2 linked regions of the Astyanax mexicanus genome follow. The protein of the gene in region 1 interacts with the protein of each later gene in a pairwise test. Links are inferred from orthologs where the notes say so. Each region holds a gene or a part of one and is shown in the gene's direction. Other genes may lie near its edges. The genes, in order: lsm1 and psmb8a.

Region 1 (9,757 bases):
ATATCATTTATTTTTATTTTTAGGGGTGGTACTGTGATTTATCTTTGCATTTTAGGTGACTATACTACTATACTATTTCTGAATAATTCATTATGCAATAAGTTGTAACTGTGTTACTGAACAGGATAAAATACCAGTAATAATATATTTATTGGTGCCAGTTTTAAAGAATTTAACAACCAATATTCTTCAGTGCAGGTTTACCCTATTCATTTCATTAGCGCCATCATGTGGAGTAATAAAGAAGTAACTTTTGTAAGTCAAATTGAGGGGGAAGTCTTAAAGAGTTTAGAGTGCCTATGTTTCAATAAAGGATCATTGATATTTGATGACACCTGTTTGAACTTTTTTGAAATGTATGGCAGGCCTGAAATGCAGGGATAGATGTATATTAACAAAGCAAACTGAGTTGAGCAAACAATACATGGAATCTCTTTGGTTAATATAGTTTGCAATTAAATAATTGTAAAAGTAAGAAACTCTCCATTTTAAGTTATTTTTGTGCATTTTCCTCCCTCACTGTATTAACTTTTACTGATTTGCAGTTGACTTTCTTTTAAGTATCAGAGTGTAAAGCTTTACAATAGGAGAGCTGAGTTCTATTACATAACCAGCTTTAGGACACTACAGTGTCACTGAGGGTCAGATGGACTGTGCTTTCTTTAAGCTGGAGTTCCTTTAAGCTATTCCTGTGTGTGTGCGCGTGTGTGTGTGTGAGAGAGAAACAGAAGGACTTGAAAGGCTTGAAAGACTGTGTACTGAACTCTCTGCTTGAGTACAGCACCTCATCTGACCTAAGATATCTTTGGCTAGCCCACACGTTTAGATGTGTAGAACATGTGTGTTGGAGTTTATGGTCTTGAGGAAAGCATGCAATTAGGCCTAACTGTGGTGATACACGTATTGAAGTGATGATTGTACCTTTATTTATGAATTGACTATATTTTTCTGACTTAAAACAGTTTTAAGTGACCACTGCTTGCACCTATATTTGGTAACCGAAGCAGTAACATGTTCAATAGTTATTTAACCCTGTTTAGCAAAGTTATACTCTTCCTCCTTTTAATGAAGATGATATTTCGAAACACAACATTCATCACTTTATCATTTCTAGAAACCCTCAGTCTGACCAAAAACAGAAAAATAGAAATAGAGGTGACAAATCATTTGTGTTTTATCCTTTCCCTGATTAAATAAAACAACATATCAATAAAACATATAACATCTGTAAAAAACTAAGGTAAACAACACAGTGCATGCAACAAGATTAAAATCTTTGTTCATCTTATTTCATACAGCAGTAAAAAAAATGGTAGCAACACCCTTGGAAGCAATCTGTGATGCCATAACTCCACCCTTCGAAACAACTACTGAGCATCACCTTAGCAACCACCTACTATACAAAACAACAAAACAGCTTTGAAACAAACTAGCCTAAAGATACTACTGTAAAGCAACAAGAATAGAAGCTAAACATAAAAATCATGGTTGCTCACAAAAAAGCACCAGAGACACAAACACACAAGTAAACATACATTCCAATACTACAGTTCCATTCTGTGGTTCAGAAAATTCACATTTGTGAGCCTGATTTTAGTCAGTTTGACACACAGACCAGAACTGAACCTAAACCCACTCTTTGCTGACCATCAATGCTATAAAATGACGAGTTAATGTACAGACAGCTTGGATACCTTATGTTCATATGGAGGTGGCGCAGGCCCCTGCCAGGGTGGAGGATGTGGAGGTCGGACGTGGTTAGCATGGTTAGCGTATGGCCCGTGAGCTGGCTGGGTGCCAGGCTGCCACTGCTGTTGAGGCTGTGTTGGCCCATATCCGCCTGAATGGGGCCAGGCTTCAGGCTGGGGCCTTGAGTGCATGGCCTGCTGGGTGGGATACCCAGGGTTGGAGGGGCATCCATCTCCATAGTGTGGGTACGAATTAGGGGGATATCCAGGACCCTGCAAGAACAGTGAACAAGAACAGAGGCTGTACTATTAAACCTTAAAAACGTATGTGTTTAGCTGGCCAGTCATATCAAAAGCTGTGACCTTTACTATACGATATAACGAATGATACCACTAAAAACATGAGCAAACATAAAAGGTTAAATAGTGGATCATCACCTACCCCTTGGCAATGCGGTACAGCATAGGGAGGCTGAGTAGAATTCCCCGCGGGCCGATCAGCGCAGCCCTGATTATGATACTGAGGTGGTTGCCGTGGAGGAATCTGCTCACTGCAGTAGAACGGATTGGATGGGTGCATCATATTGGCTGAGTACTGTCCTGGATTGTACACCCCATTGGGATAGCCTGACATTGCCTGAAATAAAGGCACAGCAGTTTGATTTTCATAAAAAGTATATATACCAAACACCTTTAATACTCTAATATAATTAGTATTACTCTAATACAATTAATCTACTATGAATCTGCAGTCTGTGTAATTTTAACAGTATGAAGGCAATAATTGTAGCATGATTTTATGTCAGTATTAATCAGTGCATTAGTCAGTGTATTTTTTTTTATCCAGTGTGAATCTGCAAAAAAACTTTAAGCACTGTGTTAAGACAAGAAGGAAGATGTGGTACTGTACCTGGGGATTGTACGGTGCTTGTCCATTGACCTCTGCTCCAGAGGGGTATGTGTTACTATACGGTCCAGCAGTATGCGAATGAGGGTACCAGTAGTTTGGTGGATAGCCACAATATGGATTAGAGTCCTGCCGTAAAGCAGAAATTACATGATGTTAGTCCTATAGTAGTTGTCACCACTATATTAGTGGTTCACCATATGGCTGAATTGAAGAAATAATACAAATTATTTTGTAACATTACTTTTACATTAACTGTACATATGTTTATCCTTCTCTAGCCCATATTATAAGCTGCCTCTTGTTTTCTCCTCAATGTTGGTACATCATTAAGGCTGATGCCACTACTTGCATGGCAATTTCCCATATTCTGCGAATTTTCCTTTGTTTGTTATGATGTTATTTTTGTTCCTGCTATCTCTTTTCCCTGTTTTTTGCTTTTAAACCCTGGCTATTATTCTTTCACAGCAGGATGATTCTGCATGACAGCATGGGACTGTTCAGCCTTTAAGGACTTATGGACACCACTTTCATCAGTACTAATATTTAGCATGTGTTCTGCAGTTACTCAGATTTTTATAATACATGACCTGTTTTTACAATAAGCACAAATTGAAATAATAAAGTACTATTTGACCACTCATTCTGCAGTCACTTTTGGACCCAGATCTCTGCAGAGCTGCTCTATGACAACATTTGCTGTAAAGAATTGAAATTTATTTTAAGTGTGACTGTTTTAATCAATTAAAAAACAACGAAGCCGACATAGTAAAGGTTTCTTTATGCTAACTGTATAGAAATAAAAATAGGTATCAGATCTGAAAGGCATTATTTCAGTACAGAACAGAAGCACTCAGGAAGCTTTGGTTCTCCAACACTGAAGATAAGGTGCACTTAGGTTACAACTTTACCAGTAGTGTAGGGATACATTTGGTAAATTCTGACAGTATTATATCGCTGCTATGCAGAAAATGGGATAATTTAGGATATCCAACTTTTATTAACAACCCAAACACACTAGCAAACCTAGCTATAGCTAACTGCTTGTATAAAGGCCACCTAATTTTACGCAATAAGTCCTGTTTCTCTAGATAACCAACTTGCTGACCAAAGCCAGCAATGGCCGGTCTGATAACTTATTCAACTAAACTACAAACTTAGGCAATAAAACGAACATCTCTCTGCAAAGTAAATCAGGGTTGTATATTTATGTGAGCTAGCTAACTACATAGAAAACACACTAGGTTAACATGTCAACGCTACTACAGTTTAAGTGAAGGTTAGTAACTGAAGTGCTGGCAATAGCTGGTAAGAGATGCTATGCTAAAGCTAATTGAATAGGACGGCACAGTTTGCTCAAAGTCAGCTGCGTAAACTTTTACACAAAGTGAATTAAAACCGTGTATTATTAAGATGCATTTGTATTAAATGTAAATAAAACGTTAAGCTGCTTCTGTATGAATGATACACTGGTGTCAAACACAGCTTAGCTTAGCGTAGTTTAGCTTAGCTTAGCTTAGCCTAGCCTAGCCCCGGTTCTTACCATCGCTCCGCTCCAGCTGCTCTCCGGGTTGTACCCGGGGCTCCAGCCCGCTTTCGGCTGCTGCATGTGCCGCTGCTGTTGCAGTAGCCACGCCGCCTCCCCGCTTCTCTCCGCTCCGGCTGAGTCGTAGGCCATCCACTGCTAACAGCACGTTATTGGTATTAATATGATTATTTTTATTATTACTAATTCATTAACCCATCATTCTCGCCATCGTGTCGGGTGTAGCTGCAGTGTGACTGAATCTGCGCGGTGCTGTAGCCTGACCTGAGCAATTAAATATTTATTTAAATCTTATAACGTATTCATATATATATTTTTTATGGCAAAAATTATTGTAAAAGCGCGTTACTGATATCCTTCTTTAGCTCTACAGTTCAATTAATTAAACATATTCACGCATAACAGCAAAGTGCTGCTGACTGTCACAGAAAAAAGCAAGCAGCCAATCACAAATAGGGACAGGAATATCTAGCCAATCACAATGTGCACAAAAACGAGCTAGCCAATCACAAGCTGGGTTACAATGTACGTTGCTTTATATGTATTTTAATCAATCGAATCGAAGCATTAAAAATATAATATAACTCTTTGCTTTTGAAAAAATTAATTGGATAAAATATTGTAAAATATATTTTCTGCATAAATAATACAAATCCCAAGGATAAATGACATACTTAAAATTATATATTTGTTATTCCGTGATATTTCGAGATATGTTTAGATGTTAAGATGTTTCTGTGCCTTGTCAGGGGTACAAAATGTATTTATAAATTTGAAATACAAAATATATTGATACTCTTTTTTTTTAGAGAGTTCTATATTATAAAGTAAACGATATCTTATTTTATGTATGATTATGATTTTGTAAAATCAAAATTAGTTTGTTTATTTTTTATCTGTAACTATAATTTCTGTCATAAGCTCTGATTCAACATTTAATTGTTAAAGTTACTGTATTTTGACAACCTTGTTCTTGAGACGGTAGCTTCCAAATCAGTTGGAGTGAAGCAAAATGTAAAATACAGCTAAAGGATTAAACAGAAATAGATCACAAACATAGTAAATGAACATAAATAAATAAATAAATAACAGTTACAAAGGAAATAACAGATAAAATCTCTAATAAATAAATACGTGGGAAGAAAGCACTACAAAATAAAAGCATAATAATTAAAATAATTATTAAGCTTATAGATAAATGATAAAAAAAAATGCATGGTGCGTTTAAATTAACATTACATATAAATAAAACTGCAAAAAAAATCTCAAAAACGAATATAAAACATATCTTTTGTAAAAAGATTTGTTTTATAAAATGCGAGTGGGCCCTTTAAAGGGGTGAGCGTGCCCCGGAAGCTGTGCTATAAGAGCGCTGCTGCTGTAGTTAGTTTGGGTGCCAGGAGGTTTGATATCACACTGTCTCTAGGTTTTTTGTGCTTTAAACTCCCCGCATGTCTGCAGGATGAATTACATGCCAGGCACCGCCAGCCTCATTGAGGACATCGACAGTAAGTTAAAAGCTCCGCTGGGCTTTACTACCCAGCCTAAAGCCGCTGGAACTCCAAATAGCTGCGTTGTAATTGGAATTGTTCGGTCCACCTTAAATGGTGCAGTGATTATATTCTGAGTCCAGCTAGCACAGTAATGTACCTGCTGCCCTATTTAAGGTGGAGTGGAAATTTAAAGCAATTAGCTATCTTAAACTTTCTTACTGCTAAAGATAATCTAAGTGTGTTTAATCTTGCGTTTCTGACCACGAACTGTGTACAATTTATACATATTGTATTTTTTTTCTCTACACCTCATTCCTCCCAAGATGAACCTGGAGGTGGTCTTCAGGGTTTGGGCCATTAGATAGCTAGCTAGATCGCTAACAACTACAACCACTTAAGTACTTGCAAATTAAACCTTTATAGACTTGCTAAAATGCTAAAAGTTAAATATAACACAGCTGGAGCTGGCGAACATTGAACTAGCTCTTTATGAATTCTTAGGATGACATAACAAATCCAAGGAAGGCTGTTTTGTGTGACTTATTTTGCCAGTTTTGTTGTTGCATGAAACTGTATAAATGTCTTTTAAGCAAATAAGCTTTCTGTCTGTCTGATCTGTTTTTGTTTTTCTTCCAGAAAAGCACCTTGTTCTGCTCAGAGATGGGAGAACACTGATTGGGATCCTCAGAAGTATAGATCAGTTTGGTAAGTAGATCCAGTGTTCAGTGAAGTAAAATAACAGATCCAAGTGAACCACTCAGTATGATCAGTATAATATATTTATATGTACACCAGTGTTTCCCACTGAACTGACACCCATTAAAATGAGCTTACTAAAGTTCCTCAGAGTTGGATTAAGAGGCGTTAGGTGTGCTTGGCAGTAGTTGGACATCGTTTAAGTTGTTCCATGCTTCACTTTTATTCGATGCCCTTTCACAATGAAGTGGTAACCTGCCTTTAGCATGGATGCACTGATCTATATTATATGGTACATCTATTTTAAAACTGCTTGAGGGTGCATAGAATATAAAGCCATGGTGCTAACTACCGAATAACAAATGATCTCACTGCATTAGCAGCACGGTCAGTATTTGAAGTTTATTTGCATCAGTATTGTTCTGCCCATCCTTGTCAGTTGTATGTTATTCATTAACAGGTTGTTAATATTTGATCTCTGTTCTCTTTAACAGCAAATTTAGTTTTGCATCAAACAGTGGAACGTATCCACGTTGGTAAGAAGTTTGGAGACATACCCCGAGGGATCTTTGTTGTCAGAGGAGAAAATGTTGTCTTACTTGGAGAAGTAGTAAGTTTACACAGTTTTTGTTTATTTTTCTTTCTGGAAATGTTTCCATTAAAATAAGATTAAGCAAAATGAGTCATGGTATTAAACATAAGCCTTGTTTGTTGTTGCTAGGATTGACAGGCTTTAGAGAATGCTGGGGAAATATCAGTCAACCTAATGAAGGGCTATAGTGTGAATAGTACCTTGGTGTGTAACACAGTACCTGCATTAAGGGCCAAATACCTGGCCAAGGATTAATTCTAGTCATGGACTCAATGGAAATTTAAAATGTAAAAGGTAAATAAGAGAAACTTGTTAATGTTAAATATTAACACCCTGCTGTGGGAAATTTGGGAATTATTTTGGTACCAGGGGTTGAGCTTACCTTTAACCTTTTAATACGGTGGACTGACCAAATCAGTGTGGCTGCATTGTGCGCACTTTTTTTTTTTTTTTTTTCCCCACAACTATGATCTGGGTGCAATAAACATGATGTAGAATAATACTATTTTATTGGACGGGTAAGGAGGAGAGCTGAGATGTGTTATGAATGAGGGGAATTTAAGAAGCATGTTTTATTGGAATTTAACCTACACTCTCCTGTTTGGATTTGTTTATTGTCTGCTCTGTAGGACCTAGATAAAGAATGTGATCAGATCCTTCAGAGAGTTTCCATTGAGGAAATTCTGGAGGAGCAGCGGGTGGAGCAGCAGGCAAAGCAGGAGTCTGAGAAGCGGAAACTACAGGCAGTAAAGGAGCGAGGCTTGTCCATCCCTAAAGCAGACACATTGGATGATTTCTGAGACGCCTTTAGGTTAATTTTTTTTGCTTGTTTTGTTTTCAGTTTTAGTGAGTATTACACACGTGACCTTCAATGAATGCATCACAGAAGACTGTGATCATGACCGTTTTTGTTTTTATGTAAGTCATGCTCTGCGTGACCATTACCATCTTTTCCTTTACGGCCGATGGTGCCGTATTGAAACTGAAGATGGACCAAACGGAAGCACTTGGCCTGCTGGCTTTTATTTTGAACTTTGTAGAGAAGAATAATGGAACCTTAAACTCAGTGTTTGTGTCGTTGAGGTGATGTTATGGTGGCGTTTATGTTGGTATGCTATGTTAAATCACGCTAAACAGCACTGAAGATATTTTTGTTCTATTAAACCTATTTTGTACTGAATAATATTGAGTGGTTTCCTTTGTGCGACAAATGATTTGTGAAATGCAGTCTGTTCTTGCCTGATTGCATTTTATTAACCACCTTTCCAGTTCTTTACTTACCTTAAGGGGAGCCAGTTTACATGAAAACAAAATATATAAAACTAACCTTTTCTATAATTGTATGATGTTGGGTTGAGAATATTTTAAGAGAAGCATTCAATTCCACACTTATGTTGTGACTTTTCAAGTACTTCTCCAGCGTTACTTGCTAGCTTGCAGTGTCTGTGTAATTCCCTCATTTGCCTTATGGTGTCGCCAAATACTGAAAACAAGTTATGTTTTAGAGAAATGTACCAAACTTAATCTTGTTCACAGTGGTGGTGAATGAAATCGTATCAAACTAGTTTACTGGCTTTAAATGCCCCATCACAAATACATTATGCAGATACACCTAAACAAAACCAAAACAGACTTTGGGACTGTTAAGGATACATAGTGATAAACAACACGGTCTTAAAATGTTCTCTGGAAGTGCTACCACCAGCATCTACTTGTGGTGTTCAGTAAAATGAAATACTGTGTTATGGCAGTGAAAGCAGCAACTTTCTACCTGAAGAGTTGTGTGTGTGATTTTTGTAGCACATGGTGTTTTAATTTTACAGAGGGCATGCAGGTTTTGGGGTCCCAAAGTCTGAGAGATTTTCTTTTAAAATAAGTAATGCTAAAGCTATTAAAATAAAAAGCTGTATCAGACCTAATAGTAAGGTGCAACATTTAGAACAGTGAAGGGGAGAACGTGGCAAACTAATAGCAAAGCTACTAGTGGTGCAAAAAATATATACTGTGAATTTAAAAACAAAATAAATGCTACCAGGCTGCTACAAACAAGAAAAAACAAGATGCAGCCTGTGCCAGTAAAGGAAACAGTGATGCTAAATATAAATTAACACTACTTGGCAGCTTGACTGTGTCAATAGTCCAAATTTAAATTGACACATAGCTAAACACATTCTTACATTATAATCTCTCAATTTTAATATAACAAATTGCTCTGTTTATTTTATTTGGCTACAATAAATTATTTGGCTACAATTAAATATATTTTACGTTTCTATTTAAAATATTAAAAGCAACTGTTTTAAACAATTACTTTCTATTGTGGTGTTTATTAATTCAGTGTTGTAGTACTCAACATTTCTTAACCATTTCAGGCCCTGCATCCATTACAACAGACATCATGTATTTTCTTTATTTCTAAATGTTTTGTTGCACACACAACTATTTGAGAGCTGTTGTTCATTAGAATAGACCATGAACCAGCCAATGAACAAGTTTATAAACCAATGAAACAGTAACTTGGCCCCGCCCACTGCACTGGAAAAAAAATGTAAAACTAGAGCCATTGAGGCAAAGTAACAGTTAAGTTTTTCTTTAATTACGCTATTTTTTATTTTTTTAAACTTTTTTTTTACTGTTTAGGAGTGGTTTATTACATACAAGGTCAATATGAAACAAAATATTAACAAAGGCCTACAATGCAATGGAAATAAAAAATAAACTGATTAAATATTTTAGTTCACTGGATTTATTTGCTGTATAAATTTCATAGTAAAATTTTAGAGTCTTCTTTTCTGTGCATTACAGACAGAAATAGCATTCTTACATTTCTTTCCA
Region 2 (9,567 bases), on another chromosome or scaffold:
CCGTACGTGTTCGAAGCGCCTCAGTCTGGGTTCAGTTTCGAGAACTCGACCCGGTAAGTTTAATTCAGTTTACTAGAACTCGAATCAATGATTTCAATGCCAAATGCGCAGTAACTTTAGATATGTATATTTATTTACATATATTTTTTAGAGTAGAGTGTGTGTACTGAGAGCTACACTCTCACCAAAAGCGAAAGTATTTTAATACGTATTTTAATTTTTTAATTCGACAAAAACGCGTTATTTAACCTCATATATTTCGCTTCACATGAAGTTTTCACAACAAACGAGGAAGTTTGTTATATTAGCTGCTTCTGAAACATAATACGGTGAAATCTTTTATTTTCGTTTGAGGAAGCATCGCATCGCTCTGAGGAGAGAGATACGCCGTGACCTGCCGTGACACGATCTGCAGCCGCGCTCATATAGCAAGCAGTTTTAGCCTTAAACTCAAACTACTGAGTCCTAATTCATCGCCAGATTACAGATGTCTGTGTATTAAACTCCCTGCTGTCGGAAAATTCTAGCAGGGACTAAAATTGAACACATACAGCCCTAAATAAGAGACCTCTTAAAAATTAGGAGTTTCTTTGATTTTACCAAATTGAAACCCTCTGGAAAACAATCAGGAGGAAGATGGATGATCACAGCCGTCAAACCAAGCTGAACTGCTTGATTTTTTTTGTACCAGGAGTGGCACAAAGTTATCCAAAAGCAGTGTGAAAGTGTGAAACTGCATTTAAAAAACAGTGTTATTTCACCAAATATTGATTTCTGAACTCTTAAAACTTTATGAATATGAACTTGTGTTCTTTGCATTATTTGAGGTCTGAAAGCTCTGTATCCTCTTTATTTTAGCCATTTATCATGTTCTGCAAATACATGCTCTAAATGACAATATTTTATTTGGAATTTGGGAGAAATGTTGTCCATAGTTTTTACCTATAAATAGCAAACTCAGAGAAAACTGATTCAGAAACTAAAGTGCCCCATTTAATTCTGAGCACTTCTTCATTAGAGGAGCACCTGACAGGGGACCTGTTCATGTTTACTCACCTTAACACCATACACCTATACATCCCATTTTTGTCCTAAATGATAGTAAATGGTTCTTTATCCTACAACAGCTTGCTATACATTATCCCTCTATAGCTTGATTTTCATATTTGTTTAGAAAAAAAACTACATTTTGACAGTGGTGATCTAACCATCAAAAAATTAGGAACCACTGTTTCAACATGATTGCCTCGTTATGTATCTGTATAATGTTGCCCAGAAGCAATAAATCAAAGAAAGCTCTTTTAGTAAGAAGATAAAGAAAACATAGCCACAACAATAAAAAAAAACATTAAAAGCACAATTCAATAATCAAAAGTGTGTTTTTTCGTAGCCTGTAAGCAACACCATGACATAATGTCTTAGGATTGTCAGCTACCTTATCATTTGCCTTTGTCTTTCAGAAATGTTTTATTGAACAATGTGCTTGGAGAACAGAAGACAAAGACACCTAAACCCATGAAGACTGGAACCACAATTGCAGGAGTGGTGTATAAGGTATGAAACATCAGAAGAGAGTTCAAAATGTAGGATTATTCAAATCATATTCTTTATATGTGATGTTTAATATTGGTTTCTATCTATCTATCTATCTATCTATCTATCTATCTATCTATCTATCTATCTATCTATCTATCTATCTATCTATCTATCTATCTATCTATCTATCTATCTATCTATCTATCTATCTATCTATGTATGTAGGATGGTGTGGTACTGGGAGCAGACACAAGGGCCACTTCCAGTGAAGTAGTCGCTGACAAAATGTGTGCCAAAATTCACTACATTGCTCCAAACATATAGTAAGTGGCACCTCCACTTGTAAAAAACATAACATTTTTCCTCAATATTACTCATAATTTAATGTTAGAAAGAGTGGTGTATCATAAAATTATCTAATTGTTTTTAAACCTTCTGACTGATTGTGTACACTACTCAGATTTCATACAGAAAAATATAAGAGGTTGCAACTGTCTGTTTTTTTATGTGTTTAGCTGCTGTGGAGCAGGGACTGCTGCAGACACAGAAAAAACTACAGACATGCTGTCATCCAACCTCACCATTTTCTCCTTGAACAGTGGCAGAAATCCTAGAGTGGTCATGGCAGCTAACATCATACAGGATATGCTCTTCAGGTTGACAAGCACATTCCATTTTCACTTTTTGAGATCTGATTTTACTTTCAGTGCCCTTTTACAAAGGGGGATTCTCTAGTCATGAAATTATTTGGTGGATGAGAATGTAATGTCTTGCATCTGCTGTAGTTTCTAAAAAAATATGAGATGCAGCAAACAATCTTTATAAATTTGTTTGTGGAACACATTCCATTTACACCTGTTTTTAATGTGGTTAAGATCCCTCTCTCCAAATGTGACTTGGTCATTCGTTCATATCACATTCTGGCTGTGGCTTCTCTTGCGATCAATTAAAATCTGCATGTGGTCCAACCAATAAAATGTATGTTAATGCAAGTGATAAAGTGATAAAAACTGACATTTATTGTTGCTTTTTTGTTTACTTTAATGTTGATGTCATATATCAGGTATCGAGGTGGGATTGGAGCGAATCTCATTTTGGGAGGGGTCGACTGCACTGGGAGTCACATCTACAATGTGGGGCCTTTTGGAAGCATGACCAAGGTTCCATTTATTGCAATGGGTAAGTTTATGACATCCAGAAGTCACATTCAAACATGTAATTTAATGATACTGCAGTTATTTGCTAATTCAATCAATGGTTGTGTTTAGGATCTGGAGATTTAGCTGCTATGGGTGTTCTGGAAGACAGGTTCAAACCCAGTCTGGAGGTACTTGGCTGTTTTAAAATAATCTGATTCTTCCTTATGTTCAATTTACTTCAGTCACAGACAACCTTAGTAATAAAAGGTATTTATAACACTGTACTGGCTTAAAATGAACCAACTCTCACATTGTTTCATCCTGTTTTCTAGCTTGAGGAGGCCAAGTTTTTAGTGCGCGATGCCATCCATGCAGGCATCATGAGTGACCTGGGTTCAGGAAACAACATTGACATCTGTGTCATCACCAGGGAAGGGGTGGACTACATAAGACCCTATAAGGAATCTGAATACACGAACAAGAGGTAAAAAAGGACATTTCAGTCAGGTTATGATCACATTATTACGCTGAAGTGACCTTTTTTTGCCTTATTGTGACACGTATAAGATTTTTTTAAGTTTTGTGGACATGTCAAATCTGACCTTTCAAAGATTTTAGTCAATTTTATAGGTATATTAGTTAATATGCTAGCAGTACCTTATTGGACTATTCAGTATTACTGTATTATGCACAGGCAAACAGCTGTACAAAGTGTAATCACCCTGCACTTTAGCAGTTTGTTGACAATAATTCTCTTTTTTTATTGTGTTATGTGATCGTCTGAAGGCTTAATATGGACTACACTGAATAAGGGTCTTAAAAAAGTCCTGCCTAGAGCTAATCAATTATTAGAAAAAATCTGAGTACTTGAGTGGGTAATATTTCCTTTTTGTTTGTTCCTCTCTCTCTCCCAGACAGGAAAAATATAAGTATAAACCAGGTACAACTCCTGTTTTGACAGAGAAGGTGGTTCGCTTGGAGCTGGAGCTTGTGCATGAGAATGTTCAAACAATGGAAACATCCTGAGCCAAACTCCTGTGCCCTCTGTTTTTGAAAATAAACTGGTGTCAGAAAGCACAAAAATCACATTTTCAGTTAGTTGTGAATATGATAATAAATAAATGACCAAATTAGACTTGTGTATGTTCTGTTTTGTTTTCATGGTTAAAGGAAAAATACAACCATGTTTGTGTTTATTGCAAGCTGACATTATGAGTGGTGTACAATACCAAAGTAAATGTAATCAGTTACTGTTTAAAAAAATATGTGTGAATTTACTGAAACATCTCTACCTTGGGTAACTTTTTACTTTACCTCTACTTCATTTTAAACCCAGATATTTTACTTTTTACTCCATTATGTAAAGTCTGTCATTACACTACAGGCTTATGTGTGCATAAAAACATTAGATTTTAAAACAAACTTAAAGGAAGCACACCAATCAGAGTACACTGTATGTTTTGCACTTGTTTTAACCTGTTGGACACCTAGCTATCCATCACACGCATACCGGGGAGCGCAACATCTGTGAAAAATGGTAAAAAGGTAAAAAGTGGGGGGTATGAATTGAGGACTTTTGCTTTTACTGAAATAACATTTTACCCTTGAGTATTACCACTTTAATTCAAGTACACGGTTTATGTGTTGTCAATATAAATTTTGTAATAAATCATTACTATATTTCAGAGGTTTTAAATTGGGCATATAGGGATTAGCTATCGTTTTAGCATCACATATTAATTTACACTTCCTTTGTTTTAATAAATAACCTAAGATTATTTATAAGATTATTACAGAAGAATGGAAAACTTTTCAAAAAGTTCTGAAAAACACTCAAAAACCCAATAAACATAAAAATTCTACACTTTATTCATATACTATTTTACTAATTGTTTAAATATAAGTCAATTTAATTTACCTGCATATTTTCACTGAATCGTTTAAAATCACACCACAGTTTCAGTATAGTATAAACTAGTTTTACTTGCATTGTATCATTTGTGTCACATGAGTGTTTCATAAAATAATTGCTAGTGTATAACTGAATAAGAATAGATTAAAAGATAAGAAAGGTATACAATTTGAGCAGGCAGGCTAGCAGGCTACATGAGCTGACACTTTAATAAACTACAGTTAATCTGCTGCAGCGCAACCTGTAGACGAGCTTTCTCCCTGTGAACTGATGACGCGCACAGACGAGCGCTCCTATTGGTCAGCCGGCTGTGGGGAACTCGTCAGGTAGGTGCGTGTCTTTTCTTTTCCGTATAAAAATTATTTTTTTTAACGTTAAAGTGAAAAACGTATAAAGCGAGTAAACATGAGAGTGTGTAAAATTATATAATTTTCAGAAAACCTTTAAAAATGTTTGTTAAAGCAGGAAAAATCGGCTAAAATCGAAACTAAAAAAACAGCATCCCTGAAACTTTCGGTTTCAGCTACAGATACGTTGTCTTCCTGTGATTGCTCACATTTCACCCGGTGAAAATCTGCTTTTCTCTTTTCGGGGCTAAAGCTTGTTTCAGGAAACACTAATAACTAATAATACCGTCTGCTGTTTTAAACAGAACAGCATGGCTCTAGCAGAAGTTAGTGGATATTCGTCCGTATCCGGATTTGGACTGTTTTCGAGGCAAGCTCACTTCGTGGACGGACCGAATCATTACTCTTTCGGGGTGAAATCACAAGAATTTGCCGTTCCTGTTGGAGTTGACGTAAGTAATGTGTAATAAATAACTGATGGATGATCGGCCAGTGGCCTGATTAATTCACCCTCAACTGCGTATCTACATGCATCCCTGTACAAGTACAAGTACGATTAAACTATAGCTTACTTAGAATACGTTACAGTTGAAGTGCTCATGTGGGACTAGTCACATGGATGGAGTGTGGTCTAGGTGGGATTCAGGTGGGCATGGGCTCTGATTGAATTTGTAGTCTACACATGTTGTTACTGTCTGGGACCCAGTTTGGCTTCCAAAATGTGCCTCATCATTACAGCCCACCTTAATCCCACAAGGCTCTGATCTAGGCCCCATGTGCAGTGCACAACTCAGATGGAGCCTATAATTTACCCTGTTAAAAATCCAGCTCAAGACCAGCTGGTCATCCAGTATAAAAACTCTATGCTAGTCAAGAGATAGGGTAAGTGTAATGATATCAGTGTAATGTTTATTCATTTATTTTTCAGACTGTAAAGGCTAAATGCAAAACATAGAAAATTGTACGTAAAACTTGTTTTTTATGTAGTGCAGTGTACAAGAAATAAGTTTTCATCCATTGTTCCCAATTTTAGGTTTTTCATTTCTGCACCTCACAATTGGATTTTCAGGAAAAATAAAAAAGGATCTTTTATTTATTTTCTGATTGTTCCATTTTTGTATTTTGCAAGAATACCCCCAAATTTGTGTTACAAGATACAAAAATGGACAAATCTGAAAATCAAGAGAAGATTCACTTTTTAATGTCTCTTGAAATTATTTTGCCAAAGGCTGAAATAAAAAACAATATGATAAAAAAATTGAATGAAAATCCATTTCTTCTTCACTCTGAATGGATAAAATAAAGATTACGTTTTTTTTACACAATTTTCTGTTTTTGAATTTAGCTTGATACAGTCAGAAAATTAAACTAAGTTTAACTCAGTGTGCTAAACAGTACACTGACCAGATGGCAAGCTGGTCTTGAGCTGGATCTTTTTAACACGTAACCCCTCCTGGTCCCATTACTGACCCTAATTGGGTTCCCATAGATGGAATGTGGTCTAGATAATTTTGGGGTGGGCATGGGCTCCGAGTGGGTTTGTAGCCTACATGTGTTGTTACTGGCACCCGGTTGGTCTTCCCAAAAGGAACCTGTTATCATGGTCCTATCACTAACTCTTGTTGGGGCCGTGCCACACGATTGACATTCATATGCGGTGCCAACATGGAAGCCGTAGACAAAACCTTTGTTGGTTCCCAGTTGGGGTACCCATACAGACCCAACATGGATATTTTAAGCTGCTCACTGACTTTAAAGTACACAGTGTTACTATAATAATAATAATTGTAAGTGGTATAAATCAAAAATGTTTGAACAGGCTCTAAAATCATCTTGTGTTTTTTCAGCCATCAACCTTTCTACAGTCATGCAGCTGTGAGGATGGCATATCAATTGACATGAACCATGGCACCACCACACTGGCTTTCAAGTTTCGCCATGGCGTCATCGTGGCAGTTGACTCTAGGGCTTCAGCTGGTAACTACATAGGTAAGTATACTCACATCACTTTACTTCACAAGTTACACAAAGTAAATCACATATTCACAGAATTAAAAAGTTATAGCATAATTGTAAATTACAATACCACACCCAGTCGTGTAATTTTTATACCATCCTATATGTTTTGTTTCTAATAGACACAAAGGAAGCAAATAAGGTGATTGAGATCAACCCTTACCTGCTGGGTACCATGTCCGGCAGTGCAGCAGACTGTCAGTACTGGGAAAGACTCCTGGCTAAAGAGTGCAGGTTTGTTCGAACTTGAATCGTTTGAGGATGGAGGGAGTGCACATATAAAGTTACCATCAACTGTGTGTGTGTATGTGTGCGCATGTGTGTGCATTTGTTGCCATGTCAGGAAATTTTGCCAGTCATCTCAACTCAGCAGATGCATCTATGCACCCAAAAGGAAAATCTTTTTCTTTACATAAGATAAAGTGCATTAAACATGCTATGGTGCTAATTTTCATGCAAAAAAAGTTATTCCTTATATCAACTAAATCATTCAATTAACCACATTCAGTTGATAGTTGGGTTCAATTTCCCTAACCACACCCAGGTACAATTTAATGACAGTGTTCGAATGCAAATACAGATGTAAACATTCCCAGAATGTATACAGTCTGCCAGTCGGGGAAGTGTTACAAAGCTAAGTCTTAAACTAGGTCTTTGGGAGTCATTATCCATGAATGGAGAAAATTCTGAACAGTGGTGAAACTTTTAATTTAGTGGGCAGCCTGTTAAACAAATTCAGCATGTGTGCATTGCCTACAAAAACATCTTAAGGATCTGCAGTCATTTTGTGCCTCAGTTACTATCAACGTACACAATTTTAGGATCTGTGGGATAATATTCTGTGGTGGTAGAATGTTTTGTAAGACATGGATCTTGATAAATCTGGTGGAAAGCTAACTCTGCATAAGAACATAATACCAATAGTCAGATTGTGATTTGCTTAAGCAAAGATGGGTTATGCAAAAGGACAATGATTCAAAGCATACAAGCAAGTCTATGGCCCAAAAAAAGAATTACGGTGTAGGAATGGCCAAGTCTTAAATGGACACATCGTGCCTGAAAACTCACCAGTGTAGTTGAATAAAAACAATATTGCAAAGACAAGCAAACTGAAATTCCTCAACATAAGTGATTGCAAACATTTGATTGCAGTTATTACTGCCAAGAGTGTCACAACCAGATGTTAGATGTATTTTTATGGGGACGATTTATTTTAAATATGGGTGATATGATTTAAAACCCTTATTGTGTGTTTAATTAGTTGGTTTAGTTGGATAAAAGGAAACATTTCAGTCTGACAAATAAAAAAAAGAATACTTTACTTTTCCATAGCACTTTATTAACACTGTTTTATTTTGACATAGAAATAAGGTGAAATGTCCAATAATGGAAAGCAAATAGATATGAGACGCTAACAAATTACTAATAAATAATTAAGATATCGGTAAAGTGTATTTGAACTAAATATGTCAAGTAAATTTTACTTACGATTAATTTAAATTGAAAAATTACCAGTATAGCTAATAAAAACACATTTTTTACTCCAACATAAATGACCAAAGCATAAGTGTTGCATTATGTGTGAGTGTTTTGTGTTTTGTTTGTGTCTTCAGGCTTTACCAGCTACGCAATGGTCAAAGGATCTCTGTGTCTGCAGCATCCAAGCTGCTGTCCAACATGATGATAGGTTATCGAGGGATGGGCCTCTCCATGGGTAGTATGATCTGTGGCTGGGACAAGAAGGTACAGCATTATATGTGTATATTTTTGAGATTTTATTTTTATTGATGAGCAATATATACATCTATGAGATATTTTTAAATGATGTCATGATTCGTACTGAGTTGACCTGCCACTGATCCTTTTGCCCTTGCTTTTGACATTCAGGGTCCAGGTTTGTATTATGTTGATTCCGAAGGTACACGTCTCTCAGGTTGGATGTTTTCCACGGGCTGTGGGAACAGCTATGCGTACGGTGTAGTGGATGCTGGCTACCGTGAAGATTTGACTGTAGAAGAGGCGTATGAGCTGGGCCGACGTGGCATTGCCCACGCCACTCACAGAGATGCCTACTCTGGTGGAGTGGTCAACCGTAAGTCATTTTTACTCATAATGCACTCATAATACTCATACTCATAATACACACAATACATAATACACAATACTACATTCAAAGTAGTGAATTATGTTTACAGTAGATTACAATTTGTTTCAGCATGATGAAACCATACAAATTATGCAATAAACACTACAGACTTTTCATCAAATCCATGTTTATATGCAGATTTGTGATATCTGTTTTTTCTTTTATGTCTTTGTAGTCTATCATATGCAGGAGGATGGCTGGATCAAGGTATGCAAGGAGGATGTGTCTGAGCTAATCCACCGCTACAGAAAAGGAATGTTCTGATTCCAGATCAGTTCTTATTTAGTCTGATGTAGAAACATTGTCATTGCTCTGTAAATGGGCCAAATTAAGTCAGAAATCATTTTTAAATAAAGTTTTTTTAACTGAACACTAAACAAAGTTGTATTTCTTTTTTGGGTCAAAAGTGTCAGTTCTGATTTGTCCTGTGGGATTAATAAAGGATTATCTCAATTTACCCCAAAACAGGTT

What was found.
Region 2: the proteins of lsm1 (region 1) and psmb8a interact in binary tests that used the Homo sapiens proteins (3 or more experiments, as listed by UniProt). The link is inferred for Astyanax mexicanus from reciprocal best matches to the Homo sapiens genes LSM1 and PSMB8.

What each region holds. Positions count from the first base shown.
Region 1 is NC_064419.1:32,066,011-32,075,767, reverse strand, and holds lsm1 (U6 snRNA-associated Sm-like protein LSm1), read left to right. Parts: upstream 1-5,486; 5' UTR 5,487-5,603; coding exon 5,604-5,649; intron 5,650-6,270; coding exon 6,271-6,339; intron 6,340-6,824; coding exon 6,825-6,940; intron 6,941-7,551; coding exon 7,552-7,722; 3' UTR 7,723-8,105; downstream 8,106-9,757. Other genes in the region: bag4 (BAG family molecular chaperone regulator 4), read right to left, coding at 1,695-1,961, 2,131-2,325, 2,599-2,724, 4,139-4,273. UniProt on the Homo sapiens protein: Plays a role in the degradation of histone mRNAs, the only eukaryotic mRNAs that are not polyadenylated. Probably also part of an LSm subunits-containing complex involved in the general process of mRNA degradation.
Region 2 is NC_064410.1:22,167,256-22,176,822, forward strand, and holds psmb8a (proteasome subunit beta type-8), read left to right. Parts: upstream 1-4,822; 5' UTR 4,823-4,917; intron 4,918-5,239; 5' UTR 5,240-5,245; coding exon 5,246-5,386; intron 5,387-6,781; coding exon 6,782-6,923; intron 6,924-7,072; coding exon 7,073-7,184; intron 7,185-8,563; coding exon 8,564-8,693; intron 8,694-8,837; coding exon 8,838-9,042; intron 9,043-9,271; coding exon 9,272-9,360; 3' UTR 9,361-9,477; downstream 9,478-9,567. Other genes in the region: psmb13a (proteasome 20S subunit beta 13a), read left to right, coding at 1-53, 1,461-1,554, 1,762-1,859, 2,052-2,192, 2,600-2,715, 2,805-2,863, 3,008-3,159, 3,590-3,701. UniProt on the Homo sapiens protein: The proteasome is a multicatalytic proteinase complex which is characterized by its ability to cleave peptides with Arg, Phe, Tyr, Leu, and Glu adjacent to the leaving group at neutral or slightly basic pH.